Linked DNA regions of Callithrix jacchus. Each later gene encodes a partner of the first gene's protein in a complex. Links are inferred from orthologs where the notes say so. Each region holds a gene or a part of one and is shown in the gene's direction. Other genes may lie near its edges. The genes, in order: RHO, GNAT3 and GNAT1.

Region 1 (10,311 bases):
CCCTCCTGGTCCAGCTTTTTCTCCTCTGGGCTCCCACGGCCCTGGGACTGGGAGAAAACTCTCATCTCTCATGGTTAGTTGCCTCTGTCAGTGCCTCCTAAAACTGCAAGCTCCTTGAGAGCAGGGACTGTGTAGGATCCATCTCAGTATCCCCAGGGCCCAGGCCAGGGCCTGGCACATAGGAGTTTGGCAAATCCTAGGGTAGGAGGGGAAGAGGAAGGAAGGAAGGAGAACTGGTCTTTATCCCTCCCTTATTGCCCCACTCTCAGCGCTGTCAAAGACCTCACGTAGCCTCGACGCAGCCAGGTGGGGCTGAGTCATGTGGGGGACCAGAAGAAAGAAAGCCAAGGAAGAAGAGGAGGAGAAGGATGCTGACCTAGCAGCTCCTCTCACAGCAGTTCCTCTCCTGCGGAGGCTGAAGAGCGATTTGTGTGCTGCAAGCTAAGCCCCTAATCCTCCGAGGCAGAAGCAAAGCCTGCACCTGGGCTCCCAAAAGCTGGGACTTGGGTACCCAAGATGGCTACATCAACCTTCAGAGACAGTCACCCCCTAACTCCATGCCCCACAGCTCCTCACAGCTCTTCCCAAACCTGCTGAAAGGGAGGCAGAGGGCAATGGCTCAGAAAGCCCCCCACACTCCAGCTTGGCCAACACCCACACCATGGGTTTCTCTGGACTGCCTGACACAAGGTTTGGGTGCTGGCCAGGCCTGTGTTCAAATTCCAGCTCTGCAGAGGAACTTTGACCCTGTGTGCTCCAGATTCCTCAGTGGTCAGTGGGGAGTGAGACGCTCTTCACAGCGGGCAGGAGGAGTTGTCCATTCATTCGACAAATGTTTATTGAACACCTCCTGTGGGTTGTGAGCTCAGAGGCAGTGATGAACAGGCCAGGGTGGTCCTGCATTCTAGAAAGAGATGGGAGGTCAGTCAATAAGAAGACAAATGAGGCCAGGTACAGTGGCACACCTTTAGACCCAGTTACTCAGGAGGCTGAGGTAGGAGGATCACTTGAACCTAGGGCAGGAATTCAAGGCTGCGGTAAGCTATGATTGTATCCCTGCATTCCAGCCTGGGCAACAGAGCAAGACTCATCTCTAAAAAACATTTAAAAATTACAGCCTCCCAAGTGGCTCCCAAGGCAGGAGGATCACTTGAGCCTGGGAGTTAGAGACCAGCTTGAACAATATACGGAGACCCCATCTCTACAAAAATGAAAATAAATTAGCGAGGCCAGGCATGGTGGCACAGGCCAATGGTCCTAGATATTCAGGGGTTGAAGTGGTGGACTGTTTGAGCCCAGGAGGTTGAGGCTGCAGTGAGCCAAGATTGTGCCACTGACATCCAACCCAAGTAACACGGCAATACCCTGTCTCAAAAAGGACAGGCCAGGAGCCACCGCACCTGGCCTATAACTCACACCACGCCTGTAACTCCAGCACTTTGGGAGGTCGAGGTGAATGGATTACTTGAGATCAGGAGTTAGAGACCAACCTGGCTAACATGGCAAAATCCTGTCTGTACTAAAAATATAAAAATTAGCCAGGTGTGGTGACACACGCCTGTCGTCCCAGCTACTTGGGAGGCTAAGGCAGGAGTTCCACTTGAACCTGGGAAGAGGAGGTTGCAGTGAGCTGAGATCACACCACTGCACTCCAGCCTGGGCAACAGAGCAAGACCCTGTCGCAAAACAACGACCAAACCTGGTGGGGGTGCCTGGTGTGTAAGATGGTCAGGGGCGGTCTCCCCAAGGACATGAGTGGAAACAGAGACCTGAAGGAGACTCAGGAAGAGATTAATACTGTCAGCAACAAACATATTGATCACTTACAAGCACTCTCAATAATCCTATTAGGTAGGTGCTCTTGTCATTCCCATTTTACAGAGTGGAGAACCAAAGCACACTCTCGGGAGGGTCGGGGAGCTGGCTGCACTCAGGCTGTGTAGCTTCAGTCCAGATGTAAGGGTGGGTGGAAAAGAGTCTTGCCTGATGAGGGAGAACAGTGAAACCAAGGCTGTAGGGTCCAGAGATTAGTAAGCCAGGCTCTCATGGGGAAAGCAAGTGACTTTTACTGTATAGCTGGGTGTGCCCCCCACCCCACACTGAGGCTCTCTTGTCCCAGCAAACTGAGGCCCAGAGAGGCGAAGCAAGACTACCGTGATAACTCAAAGACCAGCTAGAATCCAGCCTCCTCTCCTCAAGGCTTCCATTGCCCCACCCCAGGCCTGTGTCACTCAGTCCAGGGCCTTTCCATTACCCCAGCTAAACCTTTCTTTAGTTGTTTATACCATGGTGTGAATGGCTGGCTGGTCTTTCCTGAGAGCTGTGTTTGATGATGGGAGGGAGGAATAAGCAGGTTTGGGAAGCTGTTACCCTATGAAGCCAGGTTGGCTGTGCCGGTTATAGCCCAGGCTGTCGCTGATTTGTTACAGGACCTGAACAACCCTGCAGACCTAAGCCTCAGTCTTTTCATTTGCAAAATGAATGTAGCAGAGACGGTCAGAGTAGGTGACTTCAAATGACCCTTCCAGCTTACTGTGAGCCTGTTACCCTGAACAAAGAGCATTTTTTATTTAAAAAAAATTTCTTGGGCTGGGCACAGTGGCTCACGTATATAATTTCAGCACTTTGGGAGGCTGAGGAGGGTGGATCACTTGAGCCGGGAGTTCGAGACCAGCCTGGGCAACATAGTGAGACCCCATCTCTACAAAAAATACAAAAATTAGTGGTGTGCACTTGTGGTCCCAGCTACTCGGGAGGCTGAGGTGAGAGTATCTCATGAGGACAGGAAGCAGAGGCTGCAGTGGGCTATGATTGCGCCACTGTGCTCCAGCCTGAGTGACAGAGTGAGACCTTGTCTCAAAATTTTTTTTCTTTCTCAAGCTTTACAAATACAGAGCACTGCCATGTCAGTGATGGCTCTTATTTCCTCATCACCAGGACTCCATGAGATTGAGATTGTGAAACTCACAAGAGAGGAAACTGAGACAGAGAGCGGAAGAACTGGGATCATCAGGTCCATTCCCCCACTCACTCCCTCATTCAACAAATATTCAGGGAGCACCTTCTAGGTGCCAGGCTCTGGAGGCATGTCAGTGAACAAAACAGCCAACATCCCACCTCTTTCCACCACAGGCCAGGTGCCATGCTGGGCTCTGGGAACCCTGTTGTGAACAAGACAGACCCAGGCCCACCCTTGTGGACTCACGTTGCAGGCAGGGAGACCGGCACAAAACTCATGCACAGAACACAAAAGGCTTCATGCTGTCAGAAGCACCAGGCAACAGGCAAGGCGCCAAGGTGCTGCTAAGCTGTGTAGGGCAGGGGCTCAGCCCTTCCAGGGAGGGGCCGGGTGTGGGTCAGTCTTGACCCAAGGCATCCAGGACACCCTCCTTCTGGCCATGAGGGTCCACATCAGAATCAAACTCCCACCTTAACCTCATTAGCGTTGGGCATAATCACCAGGCCAAACACCTTAAACTCCAGGAGGTCCCATCCCACCCGCCCTGCCTCAGCACTGCCACGTGTGCCAAGCCCTGTTAGACCCAACACTGCCCAGGCCAGGCAGGGGGCTAGAGCCCAGGTGGGCTGCAGGGAAGGGGGCACCCTTCTGAACAGACAGATCTAGGAATCCTGGGTGAGAGAGAGATTAAGGGACACTTTCCTGGCCTCAGGGCTCTGCACTCGCAGGGGTCCCTCTGCCCGGATGACCTTCCCCTGAAGCTTCCGCCTGTTGTTCCGGCTCTCCACTCAAGCTCCAGCTTCTCAGAGAAGCCTCCTGTGTTGGGAGTGGCTGTGACTGAACTGTCCTCACTCTTACTCGCTCCATTATTCTTTTGTGGTCCCTGTGTCCCCACCCCCACAGAAACACTGGCTTCTTATGGGGAAGGGAGCTTGCTCTTTTGTGTCCCCCGAGTGGAGACTCAGGGGGGACACAAGCACCTTGTCTGGGCCACAGTAGGTGCTCAGTACACATGCTGGCTGGACGGTGGTCACTGAGTGTTCGAACATCAGGCACTCTCAGCACCTGCACAGGCCACCCTGGCCACCCCACTTCATTCCTAGGAGGTGACATCGTGTTCCTTGGATAGCTTGAAGAGGGAGATCTACCTCCATTTGCCCCCAGGCCATCTGCCCCCAAGGCTCTGACTACTTTCTTTCCCACAGTGCATCCTGCTGTCCTGGAACCAGCCCTCATGGGGCCACCTGGCACATGGCATCTGAGACCCTCGTGGTTGACCAGACCTTCCCTAACAGGACCCTGTCTGCTGCCTCCAGGATGGGCCTCCCCTTCAGACTGGAGTCCCTGAGGGGCTCTGTCTCTCCCCTGCTCTGGTAGCCCCCTCCATCCTCCCTCCCTCCACTTTAGCTTTGGAGACATTTGAGTCACCTTTCTACCCCAGAGATCTGCCCAAGCCACTGCCCACTTCCCTCTGGATAAAGCCATGTTACTCGACTTGCTGTTCAAGACCCATCACAACTGCCCCCAGCCCGGGTCTTCCTCACCCGGCCACCTGGCAAACTGCTCCTTCTCCCAAAGGCCCAAACATGGCCTCCTGGGCTGCATTCCCCCAGGCAGTCAGACCCATCTCCACAACCTCACAGACACCCTGGGCGGAATCTGCTTCTTCCCAGTTCTGAGTCCTCCTCAGCCCCTGAGCTACTCTGGGCAGGTCTGTTTCTTTTCCATCTTTGTATTCCCAGGGGCCCACAGATAAATGTTTAATGAACAAACTCACAGAGTGAATTCCAATTCCATGCAACAATGATTGGGCTTCTGGGCCCCAGGCCATCTGTCTGGCACCAGGAACGGAAGCTGGAAGATGCAACCCCTGCCCTCGTGGAGCTCCTCTTGCAGGAGGAGTGTGGGGACTGGATGTGCCCAGAGGGAACAAACAGGTTAGGGGCTGTATAACGAGATGAGAGACTGGGAGAATAAACCCAAGAGCCTCTAGCTGTCCAGAAACTCTCAGTCCAGTCCAGACAAAGATCCGAAGTCAGCTCATATTAAGCCAGGAAAAATGGCACAGAGGCCCATGGTCCCCATTTCAGACCAAGGCCACCAGACTGAGTTGGGACCTTGGGACAGACAAGTCACATAGAAGTTAGGGGCCTTCTCCTCCCTTGCCCAAGGTCCTGAGTACCTCCCCTCCCTGACCTCAGGCTTCCTCCTGGTGTCACCTTGGACCTCTGGGAAGCCAATTAGGCCCTCCATTTCTGCAGCGGGGATTAATATGATTATGAACACCCCAATCTCTCAGATGCTGATTCAGCCAGGAGCTTAGGAGGGGGAGGTCACTTTATAAGGGTCTGCGGGGGGTGGGGGGGGTCAGAGCCCGGAGTCATCCAGCCGGAGCCCTGAGTGGCTGAGCTCAGGCCTTTGCAGCATTCTTGGGTGGGAGCAGCCGTGGGGCAACCACAAGGGCCACAGTCATGAATGGCACTGAAGGCCCTAACTTCTACGTGCCCTTCTCCAACGCGACGGGCGTGGTGCGCAGCCCCTTCGAGTACCCTCAGTACTACCTGGCAGAGCCATGGCAGTTCTCCATGCTGGCCGCCTACATGTTCCTGCTGATTGTGCTGGGCTTCCCCATCAACTTCCTCACGCTCTACGTCACCGTCCAGCACAAGAAGCTGCGCACGCCTCTCAACTACATCCTGCTCAACCTGGCCGTGGCTGACCTCTTCATGGTCTTCGGTGGCTTCACCACCACTCTCTACACCTCTCTGCATGGATACTTCATCTTCGGGCCCACAGGATGCAATGCGGAGGGCTTCTTTGCCACCCTGGGCGGTATGAGCCGGGTGCGGGTGGGGTGTGCAGGAGCCCGGGAGCATGGAGGGGTCTGGGACAGTCCCAGGCTTGGCGGTGGTGGCTGAGAGGACTTCTCTCTTCTCCTCTCCTGTCAGCATTATCTGAAGCCCTCATATATTCAGTCAACAAACACCGTTTCGTGGTGATATCTGGGCAATTTGTGCAGGGCTGGCACTGAACACTGCCTTGATCTTATTTGGAGCAAGGCGCTCGTCTCATTTCACAGCAAGGAAACTGAGCTGAGGCTCAAAGAAGTCGAGCGCCCTGCTGGGGGTCACACAGGGATGGAGCTGAGTTTGAAGCTCGCATCTGTGTTGCTCCTTGGGCCATGTTCGGAACACCAAGCCTCTGTTTCCCTCGGAGCAGCTGGGCTGGGTCAGACCCAGGCTGGGCACCAAGGGGAGAGCTGGGCAAGCCAGACACCTCCTTTCTGGGGGCCCCAGCCCGGGGCAGGAAGCGGATTCTCCATCCTCCGGTCATTGGGTCTTCCCTGTGCTGGGCGTTGGGCCGGTCCCCTCTGGCATCCTCTGCCTCTCCTCCCAGCCTCCTGTCCTTGGGTGCCCCTCCAGCCTCCCTGCCGTGCTCCTGGGCTCCTGGTGTTAAGAGCTGCACGCCGCCCCTCTGAAGCAACTCCTTTCACAGGTGATATGTGGCTGTGAAAGATGCTTTAGAATAATGTTTTGCTTTTAACAGGAAAATAAACGGGGGTGCTGCAGAGATAACAGATCTCACTTAACAGAGGGGAAAACTGAGGCAGGAGAGGGGAAGAGACTAATTTTGGGATGTGGCTGGGCAGCAGCAAGAGCCTAGGTCTTGGCACTGATCCAGGAATGTGTCCGCTGAGATGCAGGAGGAGACACTCATGGCAGCCATTGCAAAGCCAGGGTGACAGGGAGAGCTTAGCGCCAGCCACAAGCGTGGCTCTGCCAGCCTTGCCCCCTGGCCCCATGTCCAGGCAGCATCCTTGGCCCCACTCTCAGGGACTCTCTGGCCATTGTTGGGTGTTTAGTACATTCAATAATCAGAGATCGCCCAGTTCTGGCCAGAAGGTGGGGGTGCCACAAAGGGTGATTTTCCTCTGCAGGGTCAGTCCCAGTTTATAATTATCGTCCCATTCACTGTCAGGAGTGGTTGGTAAACTATATGGCCACTCTCCCTGTGGAACTTCGTGGGGTGGTGAGCAGGGCAGATGTCTGAATGCCATCGTTTCCTTCTTCTTCCTCTGTGCAAAACATTGCCTGATGCTTCATGGTTCCTAGGAGAGGGTCCCACATGCCCTGCATTATTTCATCTCCCGAGAGGGGAGAGGGAGGAAGGACCCCAACTCTGGGTTTCAGCCACCTCTGCATTCCTTCCCAACAAGGAACTCTGCCTCACACTTAAATGCATTCTTCTGTTAAAACACACACACACACACACACACACACACACACACACACACACCCCACCCTACCGGGTTCCCAGTCCAGTCATGACCTACTGATCTGATTCGTGTCTCTCATGCATCCAGAGCTCTAAGCAAATAACTTCCCCCATTCACTGAGTTTCTTTGCCCAGCTCCCCTCAGTGTGGGGTCCCTCTGCCCCTTCCTCCTCCTCCCAGTATCAAGCTCTCTCCTTCCTCAAGGGCTCTTCAGGGCCCTCTCTCGCTCCAGGTTGCTTTCCTAGCTACCCTCTCCTTGTCTAGGGGTAGTGCGCCCTCCTTAGACAGGCAGTGGGGTCAATGCTGACCGCCTGCTGGCTGCCTTGCAGGTGAAATTGCCCTGTGGTCCTTGGTGGTCCTGGCCATCGAGCGGTATGTGGTGGTGTGTAAGCCCATGAGCAACTTCCGCTTCGGGGAGAACCATGCCATCATGGGCGTTGCCTTCACCTGGGTCATGGCCCTGGCCTGCGCCGCACCGCCCCTCGCCGGCTGGTCCAGGTAATGGCATTGGGCAGAAGGGAAGGGGCTCCAGGGGCTCTCTGTAGGGTCCTCCAGTCAGGACTCAAACACAGTGCTGTCTGGTTCCAGACACTGACCTTGTAATGTCTTCTGGCCCAAATGCCCACCCAGGGTAGGGTGTAGGACAGAAGGAGGAACAGACTCTAAAGCTGCTGAAGGGCTGGTCCCACCTCCTGAGCTCCAAGTCAAAGAGAATCCAAGACATCCCAAGCCTTCACCTTGGCTGTGCCCCTAATCCTCAGCTAAGCCAGGCGCAAATTCCAATCCTCTTTGGTCTAGTGCCCCGGGAGCAGCCCCCTCTAACCTTGGGCCTCAGCAGTGGGGGAGGCCACGCCTTCCTAGTGCAGGTGGCCATATTGTGGCCCCTGGGAACTGGGTCCCATTTGGCCTCTAGGCAATTCCAAATGGGGCTGAGATGAGACACAGCGGGGACGGTGGTTTGGACATCAGGACTGGTGACTGGTCCCCAGAGGCCTCGTGTCCCTCTGCCTCCAGAAAATTCCCACTCTCACTTCCCTTTTCTCCTCAGACTGGCTAGGGTCCATTTCTTACCCCTTGCTGAATCTCAGCCCACCCCCTGGACTTTTTCCCCATCTTCTCCAGTCTGGCCTAGTTCCATCCTCTGGAATCACAGCCATTGGACGCTCTGGGTTTCCTGAGGCCATTTCACTGCCACCAACATCAGGAACCATTGCCACGTCCTAACCATGTGCCCTGGGAGCCTCTTGTTTCCAGAAGCTGCACAGAGATCCCTTAGATACCCTGTGTGTCTGTCTTTGGCCTGGAAAATACTCTCACCCTGGTGCTAGTTTGTACAAACTGCCGCAAATACAGAGCCTGAGGGCTCTCCCCTCGTCCTCACCAACCTCTGCCTGGCATAGCCTGAGGCTCAGCAGGCAGCGGATGCTGAGGCAGGGCACGCAGGGAGAGGCTAGGTCATGTCATCTGGTACCGCAGCCACCAAACAATGAAGCGACACTGATTCCACAAGGTGCATCTGCATCCCCACCGGATGCAGTCCATCCTGTCACCCAGCCACGCAGACCTTTATGATCCCCTTTCCAGGGAGGGAACAGGAAGCCCCAGAGAGGGCCAGTGCTTGGCAGGCACCTTGGCCGGGGCCATTCCCAAGTCCCTCACAGGCAAGGTCTCCCTACCTGCCTGTCTCAGGTACATCCCTGAGGGCCTGCAGTGCTCATGTGGAATCGACTACTACACGCTCAAGCCGGAGGTCAACAACGAGTCCTTTGTCATCTACATGTTCGTGGTCCACTTCACCATCCCCATGATTGTCATCTTCTTCTGCTATGGGCAGCTTGTCTTCACCGTCAAGGAGGTACGGGCTGGGGGTGGGTGGCCTCTGAGCGTCCAGCCCCCAACGCACATCTACAGCTCCTGCTCCTCGGAGGAGCCATGGTCTGGACCCGGGTCCCGTGTCCCTGCAGGCCGCCGCCCAGCAGCAGGAGTCGGCCACCACACAGAAGGCGGAGAAGGAGGTCACCCGGATGGTCATCATCATGGTCATCGCTTTCCTGATCTGCTGGGTGCCCTATGCCAGCGTGGCATTCTACATCTTCACACACCAGGGCTCCAACTTCGGTCCCATCTTCATGACCATCCCAGCGTTCTTCGCCAAGAGCGCCGCCATCTACAACCCTGTCATCTATATCATGATGAACAAGCAGGTGCCTACTGCGGGTGGGAGGGCCCCAGTGCCCCAGGCCACGGGCACTGCCTGCTAAGGATAAGCTATGTGCCAGGGCAGGGGAGGGGGCTCCATCAGGGCTACTGGCAGTGGGGCTCACGGGTCAGCAGTGTCAATGGGGAGCGTGTGAGAAATGCAGGTTCCTGGACCCCACCCAGACCTGCTGAATCTCAGGGTGGGCCCAGGAACCTGCATCACCAGCAAGCCCTCCAGGTGCCTCGGATCCTCACTCAGGTGTCAGAAGCTCCAGTCCAGATGGTTCTGGAAGCCTGATGTCAACGTCAGCAGGTCCCAGGCCGAGAATGGGATGGGCCAGTCTCCATAAAGCTGAATAAGGAGCTAAAAAATCTTATTCTGAAGGGTAAAGGGATAAGGCAGTCCCATAACAAAGAGCAAGTGGTTTCCCCGAGGAACCCAGAAGGGGGGAAACAGTCTCTGAAGTCAGCTCTGCCATTTTCCAGCTTGTGGCGCTGGGCAAGTCAGTTCCCCTCTCTGGGCCTTGGTTTCCTCATCCATAGAAAGGGCAAAACACCAAACTCTCAGATTACAGGAGAGAATTTGCAGCACACCCTTGGCACGCAGAGGGCACCATGAAATGTTGAGGGTGATGCAGTCCCCTATTGCTCGGTCCCTGGCATCTCTACGGGTGGGGAGTGTCTGCTTAGCAAGTTCCCTCCAGGAGGCCGGATTTGAGTGGAACTGTGAGGGGCACAAGCCGGGAAAGGGTTGGGGCAAACCTCACCAACGTGCCAGTTCCAAGCGCACTGTGGGCAGCCCCGGTCCTAACTCAGGCCTCTTGCCTTTCAGTTCCGGAACTGCATGCTCACCACCATCTGCTGCGGCAAGAACCCAC
Region 2 (9,998 bases), on another chromosome or scaffold:
GAAGCCCCAAAAGGCATGAACTCTCTAGAAGAAATACTATGCTTGGAGCTCCCTGAAGTGCACATTTGAGTACCATTAGCCAAGGAGAGATGGTTTGCCTCAACTTTCATGGGAATATACAAGGATAAAGGGCATTGCTAAGGCAGCCATGACTCAAACCACCTAAGGATACAATGCCTGAAATCAACACCTCCTATAAGATTGGAAACAAAATAAAGAGTAACACAGATAACAGCCTGTTTTGGCAATTTCCAGCAGGAGCTGAGCCAATGAGACATCCCTAAGCTGTAACATCCCCAAGCTGTAACATCCCCAACTCATTGAAGTGAGCCACATGTAACATCTCCACGAGAAATTCAGCTTGATGACTGTAGAAACACAGGCAATATTGGCAAGAGTCATCTCCAAAAACATGGATTGAAATCTGGTTATTAAAAGCAGGTAGCAAATAACTGCATGTCACTTCAAGCTGTATGTTTAATCATCAATGTAAAATAGTGATTACTCAAACTTTTTAAAGGCTACTGTTCCTCTCTGAAGATTCCACAGAGATCCTAACCAAAAACAGCAAGAGAAAATTTATTCTCATCGTCCATGCTTGTGGTATTTCAGTGACTTTTGGAGCTTAAGTGTGGTTCACTCTCTGTATTTGTTCTCAAATCAATATTACTGTGACACAATAAAGAAGCAATGTTCTTAAACATTGTTTATAAACATTATACAAACATTTTTCTAAAAGACCACAGCACTCCAACACAATCTCTTGCTCTTCCTGTGTGTGCATGGGCTTGTGCATGCGTGTCTTTGTGTGCAAGTGTGTGTATACAGGATAATCATCTCTCATAGCTGGAACATATATTAAGTTAGTGCAAAAGTAATTGCAGTCTTTGTAATTACTTTTGTACCAACCTTATATATGTGTGTTTGTGTGTGTGTGTGTGTGTGTGTACGTATATGTGCATAAAACTCTAACATGATGTTGGTGTTTTGGCTAGCGTCACATTTCTTGTTTCCAAGAACAAACAAAATTTATGGTCACAGCATGAAATTTAGTTCTTTTTTTCTGTTGTCCTCTTTTATCAGTTTTCTGTCATCATGGAACAGGGTTTAATGATCGAAAAGAAGCATGTTGCTATTAGTTTTAAGACTGAGGAACCAAATGTGTGACTGTTGGACTAATAGCTACAATTGTACATCCTGATACTATTTAAAACTAAAATTGGGCTTTTTATTGATTTTTTTTTAGTCACTCTAAAATTTTAGAAAAAAAATCCTAACCATACGGTCACTAAGCACTAGAAAAAAAAAGGACTCCAGGCCTTTATCAATTTGTTAGCAAGAAATAATTTTGGATTAGTACTGTGCCATATATCCTATAGACCATTCAAGCTAGGAAGATATTATCGGCCAGGCACAGTGGCTCAATCCTGTAATCCCAGCACTTTGGGAGGCCGAGGCGGGTGGATCACGAGGTCAAGAGATCAAGACCATCCTGGTCAACATGGTGAAACCCCGTCTCTACTAAAAATACAAAAAATTAGCTGGGCATGGTGGCATGTGCTTGTAATCCCAGCTACTCAGGAGGCTGAGGCAGGAGAATTGGCTGAACCCAGGAGGCGGAGGTTGCGGTGAGCCAAGACCGCGCCATTGCACTCCAGCCTGGGTAACAAGAGCGAAATTCCATCTCAAAAAAAAGAGATATTATCACCACTCCAGAGGAGTTCACTATTTTGATTTTCCTCACTTCTTTATGTATAGAAAGTTATATGCCTAAGTGAAGCAATATGAACTAACAGCTGTATTAAGCCCAACTCATTAATGATGCTGTGTCCCAGGCATCCAGGGGAGAAGTCTGAGAAAGGAGTCTTTTTCTCTCTAGCTCTCCCTCTCTGTAACACAGACATAACTAGAATTTCATGTCAAGAATACTTTAATCACTGATGAAAAATATAACATGACAATTTCATAAAGTTGATGAACATTACTGGTTACAACAGAAAAGTAGAATTTCATCGTTTTATACAGTGCAGAAAATATATACTTCTACTCCTGAAAGAGTTGGCCAGTTTTAGTTAGTGATCCAATGAGGAAGCCTTAGTAAAACACATATGTTCTTAAAACCAGGGTATATCTCTGCCAAAAAGCTATGAGGTATATTTATACTTGAATGCAAATTATATGATGTAGCCTGTCAGTTCATTGCTGCTATGGAACATGCAAGAATTCTGTTTATTATTATATTCAAATTCTTTATAAAAGCAATAGGCAAAAGGAGATTAAATGTGCTAAACATTGCTTTCAGCTTGGACTTTGTGTTCACAGGTGAGCAGTAGGCAGTAGAAATCTCCTTCCTTTGGGACAGGCTCTTTGCATTGTAAAAGCAACACCACATCATTTGCACAAATCCTTGTCTACCTACCATTGCACATCTTCATACTATCATAATATGGCTTTGGAGGAATGGAACTCAGGAAGTTTTGACTATGTTTATATATCTTCAGCCTAATATTTTTAATGTGGCAAAAGTAAACAAAGCAGGAATATGTATTTAATCTGACAGCCTATTTTCTTATTGTATGAATATGTAAAAACCCACCTGTTCAAACTTTGCACATGATCCCACAAGAAGAGCGGCACTGACAGGTGGATGGATGGACTGTATTCGAGCATTTTCTGGTTAAACACATTCACAAATCCCAAAATGCACATTGAAAGACTTATCTGCTGCCACAGGCATCCAACTCGATTTATAAGGAAAATATTGATTGACTACCTACCAAGTGCTTTATGCTTCATGTAAATAAAAAATTGTGCTGCATCATCTCTGCCCTCAATCCTGAATATTTACAAGAAGTACATGGTATCTTTTGGAGTAGCTGAAGGATATGGAACATATTTGGGTGTAATTACTGTTTTTAGTTTGTAGGAAAAATCAAATTACCTGCTGTTTCAAAGAACATTGGTTTTTATTCCCTTGGTACAAAATCAATAAAAGTCCCTCCAGCACAGCGGCTATTGCTTAATGGCCCTAAAGAGTTAATGTGCTGCCTAAATTGAACACAGTTCAGTGTCTACACCAAGTGGGCCCTCAATTAGTGTTTATGGATTGACTTTCTCACAGGCGGTAAAAGCTCAGTTTATAGAGATGGATCCTATGAGACTAAAATCAATAATTTAAGAAAATTGCGTTGAATTCTTTATTTGTAGCAATATATTATGTACAGATATAAAAACTATATGTATTTGTATCCCTTGTTGAAAACAATATTTTTTGTTCACTGACAGATGCTAATAGATGCTCAGTAGCCTTAAATAATAATCTAAGCATAGGAGACCATAAAAGTTGGATAACTTAATGTATATATTCTGATTGTGATATAGGACTGACTATAAATAAATCAAAGATCCAAATATCTGAAAATGGGATGCAAGCATCACTGATTAGTAATAACTTTTAATCACAGTAATAAAAATTCCCCTGTAATGAGAAACATTCTATTTGAATTGCTTATTGTAGATCATCTCTAGTGTATAGAATCTGACAACTTTCTACATTATTTTATACTATTCTTTAAGGCAGATAAGCATATTTTCAAAGATGTGCCCAAATCAGTCGTTTAATTTGCAAGCATAATGAATTTCCTCTTTAGCCTCCATGAGGGTGGTATGGTTTTACCACTTGATCAGCTGACAGATGAGAAAGCATCTTCTTAGTCAAAGCAGAATCTTAGAGCCCTAGGGAATGGACTGCTGGGTACTTCAGGAGAGCATTGCTCTTGCATCCTATGTCCAAACCACAGCTGTGCTCAGCATTTGAAGTTGGAACAAATAAACCGACACGTATCTACTACCACAAGATGGGAAGTGGAATTAGTTCAGAGAGCAAGGAGTCAGCCAAAAGATCGAAAGAACTGGAGAAAAAGCTTCAGGAGGATGCTGAGCGAGATGCAAGAACTGTAAAGCTGCTCCTATTAGGTAATTTCTTTTCCCTTTTGCTCTCAAAAACCTGACTTTTTTTTAACTGGGATACATTTACTTTTCTCAAACTTTAATTTTGAGTGTATTATCATGTGGGAAATTTATTATGAAAATGTATTTGGAAACTTAAGCAGATTTACTAGCACTTTATCAATATTTAATAATTTTTCTGTTTAGTGTTTTATTACATGTTTTTTCGTTAGCAAAGAGGTAAATATTTATCAGCTAATTTCTCTGTCAATAATATGATTTACTATTAATAAAAGAAAAATCAGATATATTTACTTTATTACATTCTAATTATTTTCTGAATGTCAGCCTTTTAATACTGAAAGCAATCCTTTAATTAAAAGTCATAAGGAGTTACATTATTTTGTTTAAACAGAAATATGTTGAGTTGTTTGATGCTGAAGTTGATGTTAGTAATTTACTTGTGTTGTTAAAATCAATTAGTCAAGTTATTTAGAGAGTAATGATAAGGTACTTTAAATTATATTGATACTATTACTTAGGCTCCTTAATACTGCCTGTGACATTACTTGTATGCTTGAAAAATACTCTATCTAAATCCTTTTGGTGCAATTATATATTCATTCAGGTCAGTATTTATGTCTCTTTTATATTTTTCCTTTCCTCAAAACTCAACACAGTGTTTTACTTTGACTCTAAATTCAATAATGTTCAATTAATTGAAAAAATAAAAATAACCTGTATGCAGATTTTTTTCTATAAAGCATAAAATATTTTATATGAAGAATAAACATTTTACATGCAGTTGTCACTGAAACACAAATATGGTTTTGAAATAAAATAATGACCTCTATAAAGAAGAATACAAAATAAGTGCTTAATTCTGATTGAATTATAGTAAGTTGTACGTTCTCCCTGATTTTGATTATACATAAAAGGACTTCATTTTATTTCAGAATTGTGCATACTTCACATAACAAATTTCCTCATATTTCAAGTATTTAAACACTTAAATACTTAATAATATAAAATGCATTAAATTCTTAAATTTATTTAAGTATTCCTTCATTGTGTCTAATTTGCTCTCAGTAGCAAGAGTGTTTCAGACGCCAACTGTGGGATTCCCAGCTCTTGCCCCTTACACAGGTTCTGTGCCTGCACACAGGCCCACAGCACTTGTCAATAACCATCCAGATGTCGGTGACTTAGAAAGATGTGGGTTATGTGCTTACGACACCAGGAAATATATGCTTCCTAACACATCAGAGAATTCTGTTAGTTTCTGATCAGACTGAAAGTAATATGGACATAGGAAAAGCAAATGAAAGGTGAAAGAGAAAGACAAGCATTCCTACAAATGCATTTTTATATTCCTCTTATACTAAGATCAATGGAATAAGAATGGTGATAAAATGCATTCAAAATCCCCATATTTAAATAACATTTCAATAGATGTGTGTTTTTAATATACCAAATGTCTGTTTTTTATATATTCTCTTATTTTGTAAAATTGCAAATGGAAAACCAAAAAAAATGAAAGGGCTAATATCACAATTTAGATTAAGATAAAAACTATTAAACATGCTAAAAGCAATTACTCTTGAGATAAGCATATCAGAGCAGCCAGTCAACTGGAGATTCAGTTGTAATGGAAAACAACAAGGAAGAGTGGTGGTTTCTAGGGGCTAGGGTGGTTGGGGCGAACAAGGGGAAATGGAGTTGTTGCTTAAAGATTTTAAAAAAATCACAGTTAAATAGGAGGAATAAATTTCAAGAGATCTATTGTACAGCAAGGTGACTATAGTTAATTATGATATAGTGTATTCTTGAAAAATGTAAAGAGAGTGGGTGTTATGTGCATTTATCACAAAAATGATAACTGTGAAGTAATACATTTGTTAATTAGCAAGATTTAACCATTCTACAGTGTATTTGTACTTTAACATACCATGTTGTACACAATAGAAGCATGCAATGTTGTCGATTAAGAAAATAAAAATGTTTAAAAAGAATACGTATAGATGACTAAAAATAGATTATTGAAAATTGAATCAAAAAGGGTTAATGGAACATGGACAAAAGGAAGATTCTTTTTTTTAATTTGGAACTGAAAATCAACAGACTACTGATAAAGATGGGCTTCCAGAATTAGTAAATTTCACAACTCCACAGAGCCATTGACTGAGACCCAACTTATTGTATGCAATGCTATCAAATGAAAAATAAATTATATAAATTATGTATAGACTTAAGTGGTGGTTAAATCAAGAAGAAAGAGCAACATTTGTACCAGAAGTATAAAAGAATAATTAGTGGGACTCTTATATGTTTTACTTTCCCAACGTGATTACAATTTTATACATTTAGTTTCATCATTACTAAGTAAAATATTTGGATTTATTTGGTTCTAACAGTATGTGCCCTAAACCCCTTTGTCACATTTTATTTATACAAAATAAATTAAATTCTCTTAAGTTGTTTATATTTCAATTATATTACAAACAATTGACTAAGTTTCCATTCTGGATTTCATCTGAATACTATATATGATAATATAGTTATCAAATTCCTAACAGTCATATAACTCTACTTCATTCTCATATTTTTGGACTGAATTCAAATTCTCAAAACTATAATTTTTATATTCAAGGTGACCTCATTAAGACATTAGAAAAGTGTTCAGTTGAACGAAACCAAAGCTTTCCACTCTCCCACCTCAAATCTCCTCACCAGTGAAATCTATTTAATTTTCCCATCATTGAAATGGTGCTCTCATTCATCAGTGTGATCTGGATAAGTTTTAAGTTTCACAATGAGTGTATGTCACATGGGGCTAATCAGTTTAAACTTAGTAGTGACCAAACCAAGTCAATAACTACATTTACAAAAATAAGAAATCTAAAACCACTTTTGACAGACTTTTTTTCTGTATGTTGATCTTCATCTAATGAATTTCTAGAAGCTTTCAGCATAACAGCAACTTTCCAAATTTAACATGTACTGTAAAGCAATTGTAACCATTTGGTATCATCGAACACAAGATTTCACTGAGTCTGAAGAGCTATCAAAGTGCTACTTTACAATTAAAGGATCATCTCACAGACAGATGCCTTTTTATTACACTTTTTAGACCTTCAGTAAAATCATGGAACAGATGCCAAATCTGTGTTTTATTTTAGCAAAAAGTAGGCTTTTAGAAAACACTGGTGATGATTCATACCTTGCTGAGCACAATAGATAACTGCAATCAAGACAATCATGTCATATGCTTTTTAAAAAATTCACTTGCAAAGATATTCCAGAAAGAGCACATTAAAAAAAAAAACAAACTCTAATGAATATTCTCATTTTTATCTAAATTCATTTTGAAAGTTTTATCAATGTTTCATTCAATGGTATTTTATTCAAAATAATACCTATTATTTAATTGTAAACTCAATACGGGCCATGTTTCCATTTTTCTTTTCTCTTCTCTTCATGCTTATTGTGTCAAATTTCAGTCTGAGTTGATTTTGCTGCATCAGTTTCCTTTGTGTTTTGGCAAATTTTCATCACATGGGTTGTTTAGATTTAAAACACCATGGAAAGTATAGGGAAACAACTAGCCTTCCTTCTTCTTCATATTCAAAACACCCTGTGCTATAAATAATTAACATTTATTCTACAATTTTTCACTTTCAGCTAGTAATTTCGAAGAATACCATGGAAAATTTATCATAGATTTTTTTTTCGTTTTAAAATATTTTATTTCTAATTTTTCTTTGTGCTACATTGTAAGCACCATACTATTATTATTTTAATGATGTCATCTGAGCTTTACTGTTTGAAAATACTATTCCACCAATCTGGCTTTTAGAAACATGAATAGGGATGGAGTCTAGAGATCAAAAACTATTTTCAAATGTAGTATATTTATTATAGCTAACATTTTCAAACTTTTCAAATGGTTTCACTTATTCAACAAATAGACATTTTGGAAGGTACGTAGTAGGAGACTTATAATGATTTTGACGCTATCTAAAGGCTTGGTACAAAATAATTGGTAAAATAAAACTTACACAACAGAATAAACTAAATAGGTTTAACCACAGAGCAGAATGAGGAGAATACAATTTAATACTAGAACAGAATGTGTTTTTAAACCATCTGAGTTAGAAATTGATTTATTAATATCTTCATCCAGTATAATGTTTTTATACTTCCCAGAGTGACCATAGGCTAGCCACATAAACTCAGAGAAATAATGGATGCCAAGTGTTTTGTAACTTGTAAAGATCTAGACAAATGTGGTTTATTCTTTGGCATAATAGATTCCCAAATCTGAAAAAATTAAAACTCAATAAATGTGTATCATTATTCTTAGTTTGTCTTTTTTTTACATGTAACTAAGAGAACTGAGGACTCAATACTTGGGTTAAATTTAAGTGACTATTTTTATTCTATGTGTGCTTTTTAATAGGTCTTTTTTTTTTTTTTAATTATCCCTAGATATGAGTGGGAGAGATTCCAGGAAACTAGAGTTGTTTCTGAGTTACTGATTAGATTATAAGTTCATCAACTCTTAATTTTATTACACTAACACAGCCCATGCCTGTCTATGGATAGGAGCAGATAAACACATTCTTTGGAATAATTACATTAGGATTAACCAGTAAGTCTCCTTCTGACCACTGGTAATAAAAGAAGAATCTTCTTAACATGTAAAATGTATTCCCAATGGTATTTTCAACATTTTGTTTTGTTTTGTTTATTCAAATTAAAACCAGTTTTTCCTTCCTCCAACAAGAGTACATTTTTATTTTAAACGTATTTATAAACATTATAAAATAATTTATTTTTGTATGGCATAATGGTTACAGTTAATGACATTATATTGTATTCTTGAAAAATGCTGAGAGTGAATAAGTGTTCTCACCGCAAAAATAACTATGTAGGGTAATGCATATGTTAATTAGCTAGATTTAACTGTTTCAAAATGTATATATATTTCAAAACATCAAGTTGTACACAACAAATACGTATTATTTTCTCTGCCAACTTAAATAAATTATTTATTTATTTATTTTATGTTTGTAGAGGTGTCCAACCTTTGGGAATGTATGAATATTCTTAATGCAAATGGTTAAAACTACTTCTCAGTGAAGTGGAAAGAAAACTTTAGGCAGAAAAGACCTACTTGGAGAGTTTCAATTTTTCTCCAAAATGCAATGGACTTTTCCCACTACAACAATGTGAAAGTTCTGGATATTTACAATTTATTAAATAGTTGCCAAATGTTTACAATGTTTCATTTATCTATAAGAATGGCCCATGGTAGCATCAAATAGCTTTCAATAATGTCCCTCTTTCCCAACAATCACATGCACTCAGACAAATAATTTGTGTATATTTGACTGATTGTTTCAGATGTATTCATCTCTATTGATCAGTACTTTTTAAAAACAGGCTCATAAGGCACTCACATAAAAGCGGCAAGCCATTTAGCAAAACATTCTACGCTTAGCCAAATGATAGTATTTGTAAGGAGATTGAAAATTCTGTATTGCTGATAATGACTTTTGCTAACTATAGTTTAACGAGCTCTCTAATAATATCACAGAACATATTTATATTCACATATTTTCATTCAAGCCTGAATTATTGACTCAAGACAAACATTGTACCTTTAAAAATATTTATATAAGTAACATGAGCAGTTAACAAAACTTATTTACTTCTCCACATTGTTAGAAAGGAAAAGTGGTGAAACATTTGATAGCGTAAGGACTCCATGATCAGTTTTATATAAAATAAAATAAATACCTCCATTTAAGGTATTAGACTCAAGTTCAAAATCCATACTCCTAATTTATTATTATTGGTGCAAAAGTAATTGCGGTTTTTGCCATTACTTTTAATAATTTTCCTCGAAATACTGGTGTGCAAATACATCAATGTGGAATTTGAACCTCAAAAAGTAGGATTCAAGGTGAAACTTGAATAAGATATTTAAAAATCCATTCTATTTATTACAAGATCCACTGCTAATAAAAGAAGTGGAAGTCATGGGT
Region 3 (10,314 bases), about 40 Mb from region 1:
TTGGTGGGGGCAGACCCTGGCCATGACCCCCTATGTCCTGGACCAGTCCTCTCTGAACTGGGGAAACCCTTCCACCTTGTCACAGAGCTCCTGCTCCAATGTCCTAGGGGGGTTTGGGCCCTGGTTGGGGAAGGGGCTGAGGCTGGTACCCCTTCCCCAGCATCCCCAGCCTCACTGAGGCCCTGCCTGGCCCGTTCCAGACCGCGGGACAGTACAGAAGGTCATTGTGCTGCCCAAGGATGACCAGGAGTTGGAAGAGCTCATGCTGGAAGAGGTGGAGGTCTTCAAGGTGGGTGTGACAATACCCAGTCTGACCTCTAGGTGAGGGCATGGAGGGGGGGTCCCTTAGTCCCAAGCTGATCTTTATCTCCTTCTAGGACCCAGCACCCGTCAAGACCATGACCATCTCTTCCAAGAGGGTGAGTCTTTGGCAAGGTGGGCCAGGGATGGGGACAGGGCCTGCATCCCCTCAGGGTCATGCCCTTGGCACAGGGATGGATAAACTGAGGCATGGAACAGGGAAGAGGAGCCCAGCCCACCTGGCCATTGGTGGGGCTGGCTATGGGACAGGGACTGACAAGGCCCTGTTCTTTGCCCCAGCAACAACTCTATGTGGCGTCGGCTGTGGGAGTCACACACCTGAGCCTGCACCGATGCCAGGCGTATGGGGCTGCCTGTGCTGACTGCTGCCTTGCCCGGGACCCTTACTGTGCCTGGGATGGCCAGGCCTGCTCCCGCTATACAGCATCCTCCAAGAGGTATGGACCCCTAGACACCTGGGATTTTAGCAACCAGACCCAGGGCCCTATCCTAGGGGATTGGGGGTATATATATTATCCTGGGGGAATCTTAAGGCTAAGACATCATTTTCCTGGGGAAAAAGGGCCCTGCCCTGGAGTCAGGGGGCTACAGGGACCTAGGGGCAGGCAAGCTTCCTGGGAGTAGTCCTTCAGAGGCTATCCCCATCCAGGCGGAGCCGCCGGCAGGACGTCCGGCATGGAAACCCCATCAGGCAGTGCCGTGGGTTCAACTCCAATGGTGAGTGTGCTGGGCCTCACTGTGGGGTGCTGCTCATAATGCAGAGCCTCATGCACCCCATGAAGCTGCTCACAGGGCCCCCACTGTAAGGGTGCTCTGATGGCTAAGGGGGGTGGGGGATAATGGAGATGGGATGTTACTAGTTGTCCCCTTAAGGAATGAATGCTCAACACACAGCTCTGCATTGGTGAGTAGGTGCCCCTTGGTGTCTGCTTTGAAGCAGCCAGCAGACTACCCAGAGGCGATGCTCAACCTCTCTTGCTCTATAGCCAACAAGAATGCCGTGGAGTCTGTGCAGTATGGTGTGGCTGGCAGTGCGGCCTTCCTTGAGTGCCAGCCCCGCTCGCCTCAAGCCACTGTTAAGTGGCTGTTCCAGCGAGATCCTGGTGACCGGCGCCGAGAGGTGAGTTCCTGTGCCCAGTGCTGCACCGTGGATGTGGGAGTCCTTGTGGGCTGGTGAAACATAGAGGAGTGATCTGGAGCAACTCCCATGCTGTGAAACCCCTCCCAGGCTCCCTTTCCTACAAGTAAAACCTTTGAGTGAAAACAGTTATGTGGAAATTCCATGAGACTGGCCTCATTATATGGAAAGTGTTTCTAGGTATGCCTCTTCACATGAAAATTTCATACATAGACCGCATTAGGGGTGTACCTCCTACAAAAGCATCATGTGGGTGAGCTCCAGTATATGGAAATTCTGTGGGGCCCTCATTTTATGGAAATCCCTACAGGTGTCCCTGTTTGCATGGAAATTCTATATGGTTGTCCCAACTGGATATTCTCATTAAATGGAAAATGTGGCTGGTCATGGTGGCTCACACCTGTAACCCCAACATTTTGGGAAGCCAAGGCAGGCAGATCACTTGAGGTCAGGAGTTAGAGACCAGCCTGGGCAACATGGTGAAACCCTTTCTCTACCAAAAAATACAAAAATTAGCCAGGCACTGTCATGTATGTGGTCCCAGCTACTCGGGAGGCTGAGGTGGGAGGATGGCTTAAGCCTGGGAGGGAGAGGCTGCAGTAAGCCAAGATCATTCAGCTGTACTCTAGCCTGGGTGACAGAGCCAGACTCTGTCTCAAAAAAAAAAAAAAAAAGAAAAAAATTCTGTGTGCGCTTCAAACTCTTCTCATTGTATAGAACCTCCTATGGTCGTCTCTCCTGAAATGGAGATCTGTACAGATGCCTTATTCAAATGGCTCTCATTGTGTGGAAACTATATGTGGGTTTTTCTGGCATATGAAAATTCCATATGGGTGCCTCTACACGGAATGGCCACAAAGGTGGTCTGATCTGGTCGCTGGCTATGGCTGTGGGGTGGTCACAGAACCCCCGAACCCCCTCTCCTTGCCCCTGCAGATTCGTGCAGAGGACCGTTTCCTGCGCACAGAGCAGGGCTTGTTGCTGCGTGCCTTGCAGCTCAGTGATCGTGGCCTCTACTCCTGCACAGCCACGGAAAACAACTTCAAGCACGTTGTCACACGAGTGCAGCTACATGTACTGGGCCGGGACGCCGTCCATGCTGCCCTTTTCCCACCACTGGCTGTGAGCGCCCTGCCATCCCCAGGCACAGGCCCCCCAACGCCTCCTTACCAGGAGCTGGCCCAGCTGCTGGCCCAACCAGAAGTGGGCCTCATCCACCAGTACTGCCAAGGTTACTGGCGTCATGTGCCCCCCAGCCCTAGGGAGGCTCCAGGGGCACTCCGGCCTCCTGAGTCCCAGGACCAGAAAAAGCCCCGGAACCGCCGGCACCACCCTCCGGACACATGAGGCCAGCTGCCTGAGCCCTGTCATGGGCCAGCCTAGCCCTCATCCCTTTTAATATAAAAGATATATATATATATGTGTGTGTATATATATATATATATATATATATATATATATATAAAATATCTATATTCTATACATACCCTGCCCCTGCAAAGACAGTATTTATTGGTGGGTTGAATATAGCCTGCCTCAGCAGCAGCATCCTCCACAACTTAGACCCATGCTGGTCAGAGACGGCAGGAAACAGAGCCAGCCTAACCAGGCCCAACCAGTTGGTGGGGCCAAGCCAGGACCATACCGTCCCCAGACTCAGCTGGAAGTCTACCTGCTCGACAGCCTCCGCCAAGATCTACAGGACAATGGGAGGGAGCAAAGCAAGCCCTACTTGAATGGGGCTTGGACTGTCCACCTTTTTTGATGTGTGCTGTCAGCCTGTGCTGTGGCATAGACATGGATGCGAGGACCACTTTGGAGACTAGGGTGGGCTCAGGTGCACTCAGAGAAGGCAAGAAGGGGCCGTCACAGGATGCCAGCCCCTGCCTGGGTTGGGGTCACTCAGCCATGGCCAGCCCCTTCCTGGGTATTTATTCTCTATTTATTGGGGATAGGAGAAGAGGCATCCTGCCTGGGTGGGGCAGCTCCTTCTGCCCCTTCTCTCCTCCCTGCCTGGCCAGGGCAGGGCCACCCCACTCTACTTCCTTAGCTTTTCCTGTGCCGCTTGGACTTGGAGGCTGGGATCATAGCAGAGGGGCTAGGCCCAGGCAGGCCTGATGGGAGGCCCAGCCCTGACGGGAGGGGGTCCGTGGTGGAGGCCTGGGGCCAATAGAAGCTCCCCAGGGTTCTCTTATGTCCACCACTTCAAGCGATGGGTGTAATTAGCTCTGGGGGCATTTGGGTAGATGGGTGGGGGCTCCCGGCAGCTTTCTGCTGCCCAGGCCACAGCCGCCTTTGGGTTCCATCTTGCTAATAAACACTGGCTCTGGGACTAGACTTTGGCTTCTCTCCTTGGTCGGGGGTTGGTTTAGAGCCACATGTGGTGGGCCTGGGGAGCCAGGTGGGGGGGGCTGGGAAGGGAGTAGATTGGCCCCACTTTAAACAAACCCAACATGTAGAAACCACATTCAGTTTGAGAAACCCTTGGGCAGTGTAAAGGGCTGCAAAGACTGCCCCCACCCCCCCAGAGCCCACTCACTCCTTAGGGTCAGGGAGGGTGGGTGGAGCCCAAAGGCTGAAAGTGGCACAAATGAAATGGCCTCACTCCTGGACAGATGTCCATCATCCAACAGGGTGGGTGTAGAAGCTGCCAGCCTGCTGTAGGAGCCAGCATCCACTTCCCACACATACTATTTAGAGACAGCCGTTAGTGCCTGGTGTCTGGGGTCCTGGCACCCCCTTTTGAGTCTGTGGCAGAGTTGAGTGCTAAAAGGCAGCCAGGTAGATACAATGTGCACACATACATAAGCATGCACACGGGCACCCATGTACACCCAGGTATACATGCACAAATGTGTCAAATCATTGCTTGCTTGGTGCAGTAAAAGACACATACACCCAGCACACAGAGTGTGCCCACCAGAGTCCATTGGAAGCAGAAGGCCTGCTTAGAGCAACTCCAGCCCACGATATGGGACGAATGCAATGTCCACCATTTCCCTCTCTCTGGATTCCCTGCAGGGCATAAAATCCCAGGCCAGGCTAGGCACAGTGGCTCATGCCTGTAATCCCAGCACTTTGGGAGGCAGAGGCGAGTAAATCATGAGGTCAGAAGTTCAATACCAGCCTGGCCAAGATGGTGAAACCCTGTCTCTACTAAAAAAAAAAAAAAAATTATAAAAAGTAGCCAGGCATGGTGGCAGGTGCCTGTACTCCCAGCTACTCAGGAGGCTGAGGCAGAGAATTGCTTGAACCCAGGAGGTGGAGGTTGCAGTGAGCCAAGATGGTGCCACTGTACTCAGCCTGGGTAACAGAGCAAGACTCTTGTCTTAAAAAAAAAAAAAAAAAAATCCCAGTCCAGAATTACCCAGCCCTTCTTAACTTCTTCCTGTGGTGTGACCCTTTGAGCCTCTACTTCCTCATCAGTAAAATGAGGCTGATGACATGGGCACCCATCCTCCAGGGCCAGTGTGAGCTTAGAACAAGATAAGAAGTGGTGCTGAGCCCAGTGCCTGGCAAGAGGCAGGTGGTTCAGGCATGCTTCTCTCAATTACGCCCTCTTGCTGCTAGCCCCACCTCCATCATCCTCACCCCCAGGGCTCAAGGGTCTGTCTTCCCCTTTCTCAGCCCTGCCCCTACGAACATGTCTCCCTACTCCTAGGCAGAGGTAGGGCCTCTCCTTGCAGGAGGGGGCAGGAGGACATCAGGGGTGCAGAGTCAGCTGTTGAGGGATTGGGGCTATGCGAGCCTGATTAGAAGGGTTGGGAGGGCTGAGCTGGATTCACCTGTCCTTGTCTCTAATTGGCTCTTGGACACCCCCAGCCCCCAAATCCCACTAAGCAGCCCCACCAGGGCCTGCACAGGTCCGTGGAGAGCCAGTTGATTGCAGGTCCTCCTGGGGCCAGAAGGGTGCCTGGGAGGCTGGGTTCTGGGGATCCCCTCCATCCAGAAGAACCACCTGCTCACTCTGTCCCTTCGCCTGCTGCTGGACCATGGGGGCTGGGGCCAGTGCTGAGGAGAAGCACTCCAGGGAGCTGGAAAAGAAGCTGAAAGAAGACGCTGAGAAGGATGCTCGAACCGTGAAGCTGCTGCTTCTGGGTAGGGGTGTGAGCCCAGGGGTGGGGCCATTGCCACCAGGTCATTGGTCTGGAGGCAGGCAGGCAGCCCTTCTGTGAAACAAGTGTTCCTTGGGAAGCAGTGTGAACCTGTCACAGGGTAGGGCACAGGGTGGGAGCCCTGGCCAAGCAAGGCCAGGCCTGACAGGTGGTGTCCTAGTCCCTCAAGGCTGGATATCCCACGAAGCCCCTCTCCAGACCGCTGGCTCTGCCTCAGGTGACCCACCCTCCCCAGAGGTGTATGCCAACCACATTCTTGTACGGGTATGTGTGAGGCTGACTCTTCTGCGGCTGGGCTCCTGCAAGCTCCCTGCAGCCTTTGGTTTGATGGACCTGCTGGGCAGTGCTCAGAAGCCAGGGGCCTCACTGGGAGCCTGTTACTGGGCTGCTCCTTTGGGAAGGGGACAGGCATAGTCCTCCTGGGAGTGAGGAGCCTCTTTGGCCATCCAGATCCACAAAGAATGGCTCTCAGGTGCCAAAGGGCTGTGACTGGTAGACCTACAAAGCCGCCAGAGGGGCGGGTGGGTGCCGAGGCCCAGCAGGAGTAGATAAAGCCGTGTCCAACAGACCATGGGTAGTGAGGAGAGATGGGGCTGATCCAGGCCTGCCTCAAGGTCACCGACTTTTCAAGGGGAAAGGGCAGGCTCCACCCATGCTCCCCAGGGTCCGGTCAACCAGCTGTAGGTGGGTGAAGGACCAAGCCAGCCCCACTTCCTCCCAAGGCAGAGAGGCTAAGCCAGAAATCTCATTAACTGTGCCCAACGCCCTCGCAGGGGCAGGCTCGGAAAGGATGTCAACTCTGCCCTCCCTCTTACCCAAAGGCGCTAATTCCATCTGAGCCTCTCGGAGACACCCTCACCCCTTCAGGTGAAAAGCAAGGGGTTGACCCGCCTCAAATAACCCAGTGCATGCGGTACTAGAGGCTCCCACAAGGTGGCGGTGGAGCTCCGGAATTTCTTCATTGTGTTCTCACACCATAATAAAAGCTGCCTGGGCCGGGGTCTTGGGGCCTCCCCTGTCCCAAACCAGTTGATGTCGTTGATTCTCCTCGTTGGCTTCCTTTCTTCACTTTCCAGACATTTGCAAACCTTGTGCCGTCGGGGTGTTAGGACTTACTTTGGTTGGGGAGGGAGGTAGGTGTGACTATGGGGTGTGGGCTGTTGCCCAGGCCTCTTTGCTGCAGGTACACCTAGTCAACTCGGGCTGGCCCCGTCCTCCCGGCCTCCTTGCGAGGGGCGGGGGACAGACAGTCAGCGCAGCTCTGAGGCGCCGCCTCCCTTTCAGGTGCTGGTGAATCCGGGAAGAGCACCATCGTCAAGCAGATGAAGTGAGTGCCCCTACCTGTCCTGAGGTCCCTCGGGCTGGGTCCTTCCCCACTTGCCCACGAGGGGCTCATCCTGATCGCCTCGACCCCAGGATTATCCACCAGGACGGATACTCGCTGGAAGAGTGCCTCGAGTTCATCGCCATCATCTACGGTAACACGTTGCAGTCCATCCTGGCCATCGTGCGCGCCATGACCACACTCAACATCCAGTACGGAGACTCTGCACGCCAGGTGTGCCAGGAGGCGGGCTGAGTGGGCCTCTGGGGACTCAAGGCGCGCGGCTGCACCCTTGTCCCTGGCCGCCACCAGCCACTCTCACCCTGTCCCCAGGACGACGCCCGGAAGCTAATGCACATGGCGGACACCATCGAGGAGGGCACGATGCCCAAGGAGATGTCGGACATCATCCAGCGGCTGTGGAAGGACTCCGGTATCCAGGCCTGTTTTGAGCGCGCCTCGGAGTACCAGCTCAACGACTCGGCGGGCTAGTGAGCGCGCGGGCAGCTCAGGGCACGGGGTGCGGGGGGAATCCTCCACGCCTCCCCACCCACCGCGGCCGGGTCTCGCGCAGCTATCTCTCCGATCTGGAGCGCCTAGTAACCCCAGGCTACGTGCCCACTGAGCAAGATGTACTGCGCTCGCGAGTCAAGACCACAGGCATCATCGAGACGCAGTTCTCCTTCAAGGACCTCAACTTCCGGTACGATCCGCGTGCTAGCCCGGGAGGTCACTGCCCCAGGCCCGGTCTCGCCCCGGGAACCCCGTCCCTGCTATAGGCCCTGCCCCTTCCTGGATACCCCTCCAGCAAAAAGGGTGCTAGTCCCAGCCGAGAGCTCCCCGACCAGCACTGGGCGAGGGGATGCCTGCGGGCAAGCCCAGGGGGCCCGGGGCGCCGGTTCAGGCCCCCGCGGCCCCGCAGGATGTTCGATGTGGGCGGGCAGCGCTCCGAGCGCAAGAAGTGGATCCACTGCTTCGAGGGCGTGACCTGCATCATCTTCATCGCGGCGCTGAGCGCCTACGACATGGTGCTGGTGGAGGACGACGAAGTGGTGCGTGCCAGGCAGGGTCTGTGTTCCAGGGGCTAGGTGGAGCTGCTGGCCCCTGAAGGCAGAGACCTAGCGCTGGGCTGGGGGAGGGCCTGAGAGGGGAGGCCCGTCCGAGACGGCCTGAGGCGTTCAGCAGGCCCACCTGGGGCAGTGCGGGGCGCCCTCTGCGAGCCAGCTGAACGAGAAGCCCCGCGCTGCCGGGGCCGGGAGCCCAGAGAGCAGGGGTTGCGGGTCGGACGCGGACCCTGGTGCCCGACAGCCACTGCCCTCCTCAGAACCGCATGCACGAGAGCCTGCACCTGTTCAACAGCATCTGCAACCACCGCTACTTCGCCACGACGTCCATCGTGCTCTTTCTCAACAAAAAGGACGTCTTCTCCGAGAAGATCAAGAAGGCGCACCTCAGCATCTGCTTCCCGGACTACGACGGTGAGGCGCCCGTAAGGCCGCCAGGCGGCGCCCCCGCCCCTTAATCGCGGCACGCGCCCCCCCAGCGCGGGGAAGAAAGGGCTGGGCCGAGTGAGAGCTCCCGCCCCCGCAGGGCCCAACACCTACGAGGACGCCGGCAACTACATCAAGGTGCAATTCCTCGAGCTCAACATGCGGCGCGACGTGAAGGAGATCTATTCCCACATGACGTGCGCCACCGACACGCAGAACGTCAAATTTGTCTTCGACGCTGTCACCGACATCATTATCAAGGAGAACCTCAAAGACTGCGGCCTCTTCTGAGGTGGGTCGCGGCCCTCTCCAGCGCCTCGCCTCAATATCCCAGCTCCGCCCCTGCTCCCCACCCCACGCCAACGCCCTGGCGCCTCACCTCCAAATTCCGGTGCCCACTGCTTCCAGGCCCCACCCCAGCACCTCAGGCTCCACCCACAGCCGAGGCTCCGCTCCACCGACAGAGGCCCCGCCCCACTCACACAGGTCCCATCTATTGAATTTCTTTTGGCCCCGCCCTAAGGCCTCAGGTGTCTCAGCTTCCAGGGCTGCCCCCAAAACGCAATGCCTAAACCCGTTTATTTTGTGTCTCAGGGATGCTGACTTGGTTTCCTTTGCTCTTCACAGCTGCCTGAATTCATGCATGTCACTTGCCCCGAGACCCGATAGCCCTAGCTGCCTTGCAGCCCCAGCCCTCAGGACCCTATCAGCCCCCAGAACTCCTGGGCCCCAGCCTGCCACCTCATCAAAGCCCTGAGCCCTGCTAGCTTTGAGGCCCGGACCCTTCTCCATACCTCCCACAGTCTCCCAGCATCCCATGCCCCCAACCCCAGCCCTGCCCTTCACTGCCTGGCTGCACTGGCCTCTAGGACTCTGCACTAGCCAGCCCCAGCTAGGAATGGGCAGGACTTGGGGCAGCTGAAGCTTTCCATGACTCAGCAGTGCTCAACTGACCAATCTCCCACAGCTCTCCTGCCCCTGGGAGCCCACGACTCACCTGGTGGGTCTGGGCTCAGCAAACAGCCCTCCCTCCCAGCGTTTCATCAAAGACAGGGGATATCCCTCCCACACACAGGCCAGCTGCTCACCCTGCCACCTCCATGTGACAAGTTTGGCACCTGTCTACCCAGGACCAGTGACTGTCCCTCCCAGCACCCTCCAAAGGGTCCAGAGTCCAAGTTAGCTCTGGCCTGTGCAGTCCCCACATAAACAAATTAGTGGGGAGGGGGCAGATCTGGGGGTCCTTGGGTGCCAGGGTGAGGCACAGCAGGACCCTTCCCCAAATACCAGGTTCAGAGCAACCCCCAGCCCCTCCTCCAGCAGAATCTGCTCATTGGACACCAGATCCTTAGACAGAGGTCCTTGGATGCCAGATCCACATGCCACTTCCCCACACACACATAGTACCCCCGGCTGACTGGACAACAGGATGGTCTGTTAAGGGAGGGTACTGTTGACACCAACTATGGCCAATAACAGGGCTGTCCAGAGGGGTGGCTGGGGACAGAGTCCAGCTCCCATCGATCAGCCCAGACAGAGGACTCAGGATAGGACAAAGGCCCTGGCTGTGCCCAAAAGGGTCTACCTCAGGTGGGGTTACAAGCAAGCCCAGGTGACCCTCTTATCCCTGCCCGAAGCTTCTCTTCCTCCCTCCATTCAGGGTTCCCTTCCCCGGGAAGCTGAGAGCCATGGCTGAACTATCAGGGACAAAGGCCCATGTCCCCACATCCCTGCTCCCTCCTTCTTCAGCACCAAATCTTTGTTTATGCCCACGGGCTAGGGCCTGTGCTGCAGTCGGGGACAAGGAGCTTCCATCTGGTAAGGCTGGGGCACAATTTACACTCCCTCAGCTAGACGCACACACTCAGCAATAAACCTTTGCATCCAGCCCCAGCTGTCCTTTCTTGGTGGAGGGCTTAATTATCA

Evidence for each region.
Region 2: the proteins of RHO (region 1) and GNAT3 are in contact, whole or in part, in a crystal structure (PDB 4A4M), measured with the Bos taurus proteins. The link is inferred for Callithrix jacchus from reciprocal best matches to the Homo sapiens genes RHO and GNAT3. Residues at the interface, in NP_001014890.1 of Bos taurus: Leu72, Arg135, Val138, Val139, Lys141, Thr229, Val230, Ala233, Thr242, Thr243, Lys245, Ala246, Glu249, Val250, Asn310, Lys311, Gln312; in NP_001103452.1 of Bos taurus: Ile344, Asn347, Leu348, Lys349, Asp350, Cys351, Gly352, Leu353, Phe354.
Region 3: the proteins of RHO (region 1) and GNAT1 are in contact, whole or in part, in a cryo-EM structure (PDB 6OYA), measured with the Bos taurus proteins. The link is inferred for Callithrix jacchus from reciprocal best matches to the Homo sapiens genes RHO and GNAT1. Residues at the interface, in NP_001014890.1 of Bos taurus: Leu72, Arg135, Val138, Val139, Lys141, Ser144, Asn145, Phe146, Arg147, Val230, Ala233, Gln236, Gln237, Ser240, Thr242, Thr243, Lys245, Ala246, Glu249, Val250, Met253, Met257, Asn310, Lys311, Gln312; in NP_851365.1 of Bos taurus: Ala27, Arg28, Asp189, Leu190, Val312, Glu314, Tyr316, Asp333, Ala334, Asp337, Ile340, Lys341, Asn343, Leu344, Lys345, Asp346, Cys347, Gly348, Leu349, Phe350.

What each region holds. Positions count from the first base shown.
Region 1 is NC_133516.1:72,618,069-72,628,379, reverse strand, and holds the start of RHO (rhodopsin), read left to right. Parts: upstream 1-5,328; 5' UTR 5,329-5,430; coding exon 5,431-5,791; intron 5,792-7,563; coding exon 7,564-7,732; intron 7,733-8,923; coding exon 8,924-9,089; intron 9,090-9,198; coding exon 9,199-9,438; intron 9,439-10,265; coding exon 10,266-10,311. UniProt on the Homo sapiens protein: Photoreceptor required for image-forming vision at low light intensity. Required for photoreceptor cell viability after birth.
Region 2 is NC_133512.1:69,415,246-69,425,243, forward strand, and holds the start of GNAT3 (guanine nucleotide-binding protein G(t) subunit alpha-3), read left to right. Parts: upstream 1-3,729; 5' UTR 3,730-3,785; coding exon 3,786-3,975; intron 3,976-9,998. UniProt on the Homo sapiens protein: Guanine nucleotide-binding protein (G protein) alpha subunit playing a prominent role in bitter and sweet taste transduction as well as in umami (monosodium glutamate, monopotassium glutamate, and inosine monophosphate) taste transduction.
Region 3 is NC_133516.1:32,776,129-32,786,442, forward strand, and holds GNAT1 (guanine nucleotide-binding protein G(t) subunit alpha-1), read left to right. Parts: upstream 1-5,336; 5' UTR 5,337-5,451; coding exon 5,452-5,557; intron 5,558-6,397; exon of another isoform or gene 6,398-6,707; intron 6,708-6,858; coding exon 6,859-6,901; intron 6,902-6,990; coding exon 6,991-7,132; intron 7,133-7,231; coding exon 7,232-7,389; intron 7,390-7,472; coding exon 7,473-7,601; intron 7,602-7,820; coding exon 7,821-7,950; intron 7,951-8,222; coding exon 8,223-8,376; intron 8,377-8,488; coding exon 8,489-8,679; 3' UTR 8,680-8,680; intron 8,681-9,015; exon of another isoform or gene 9,016-10,048; 3' UTR 10,049-10,276; downstream 10,277-10,314. Other genes in the region: SEMA3F (semaphorin-3F), read left to right, coding at 201-289, 378-419, 601-758, 971-1,038, 1,308-1,441, 2,396-2,806. UniProt on the Homo sapiens protein: Functions as a signal transducer for the rod photoreceptor RHO. Required for normal RHO-mediated light perception by the retina.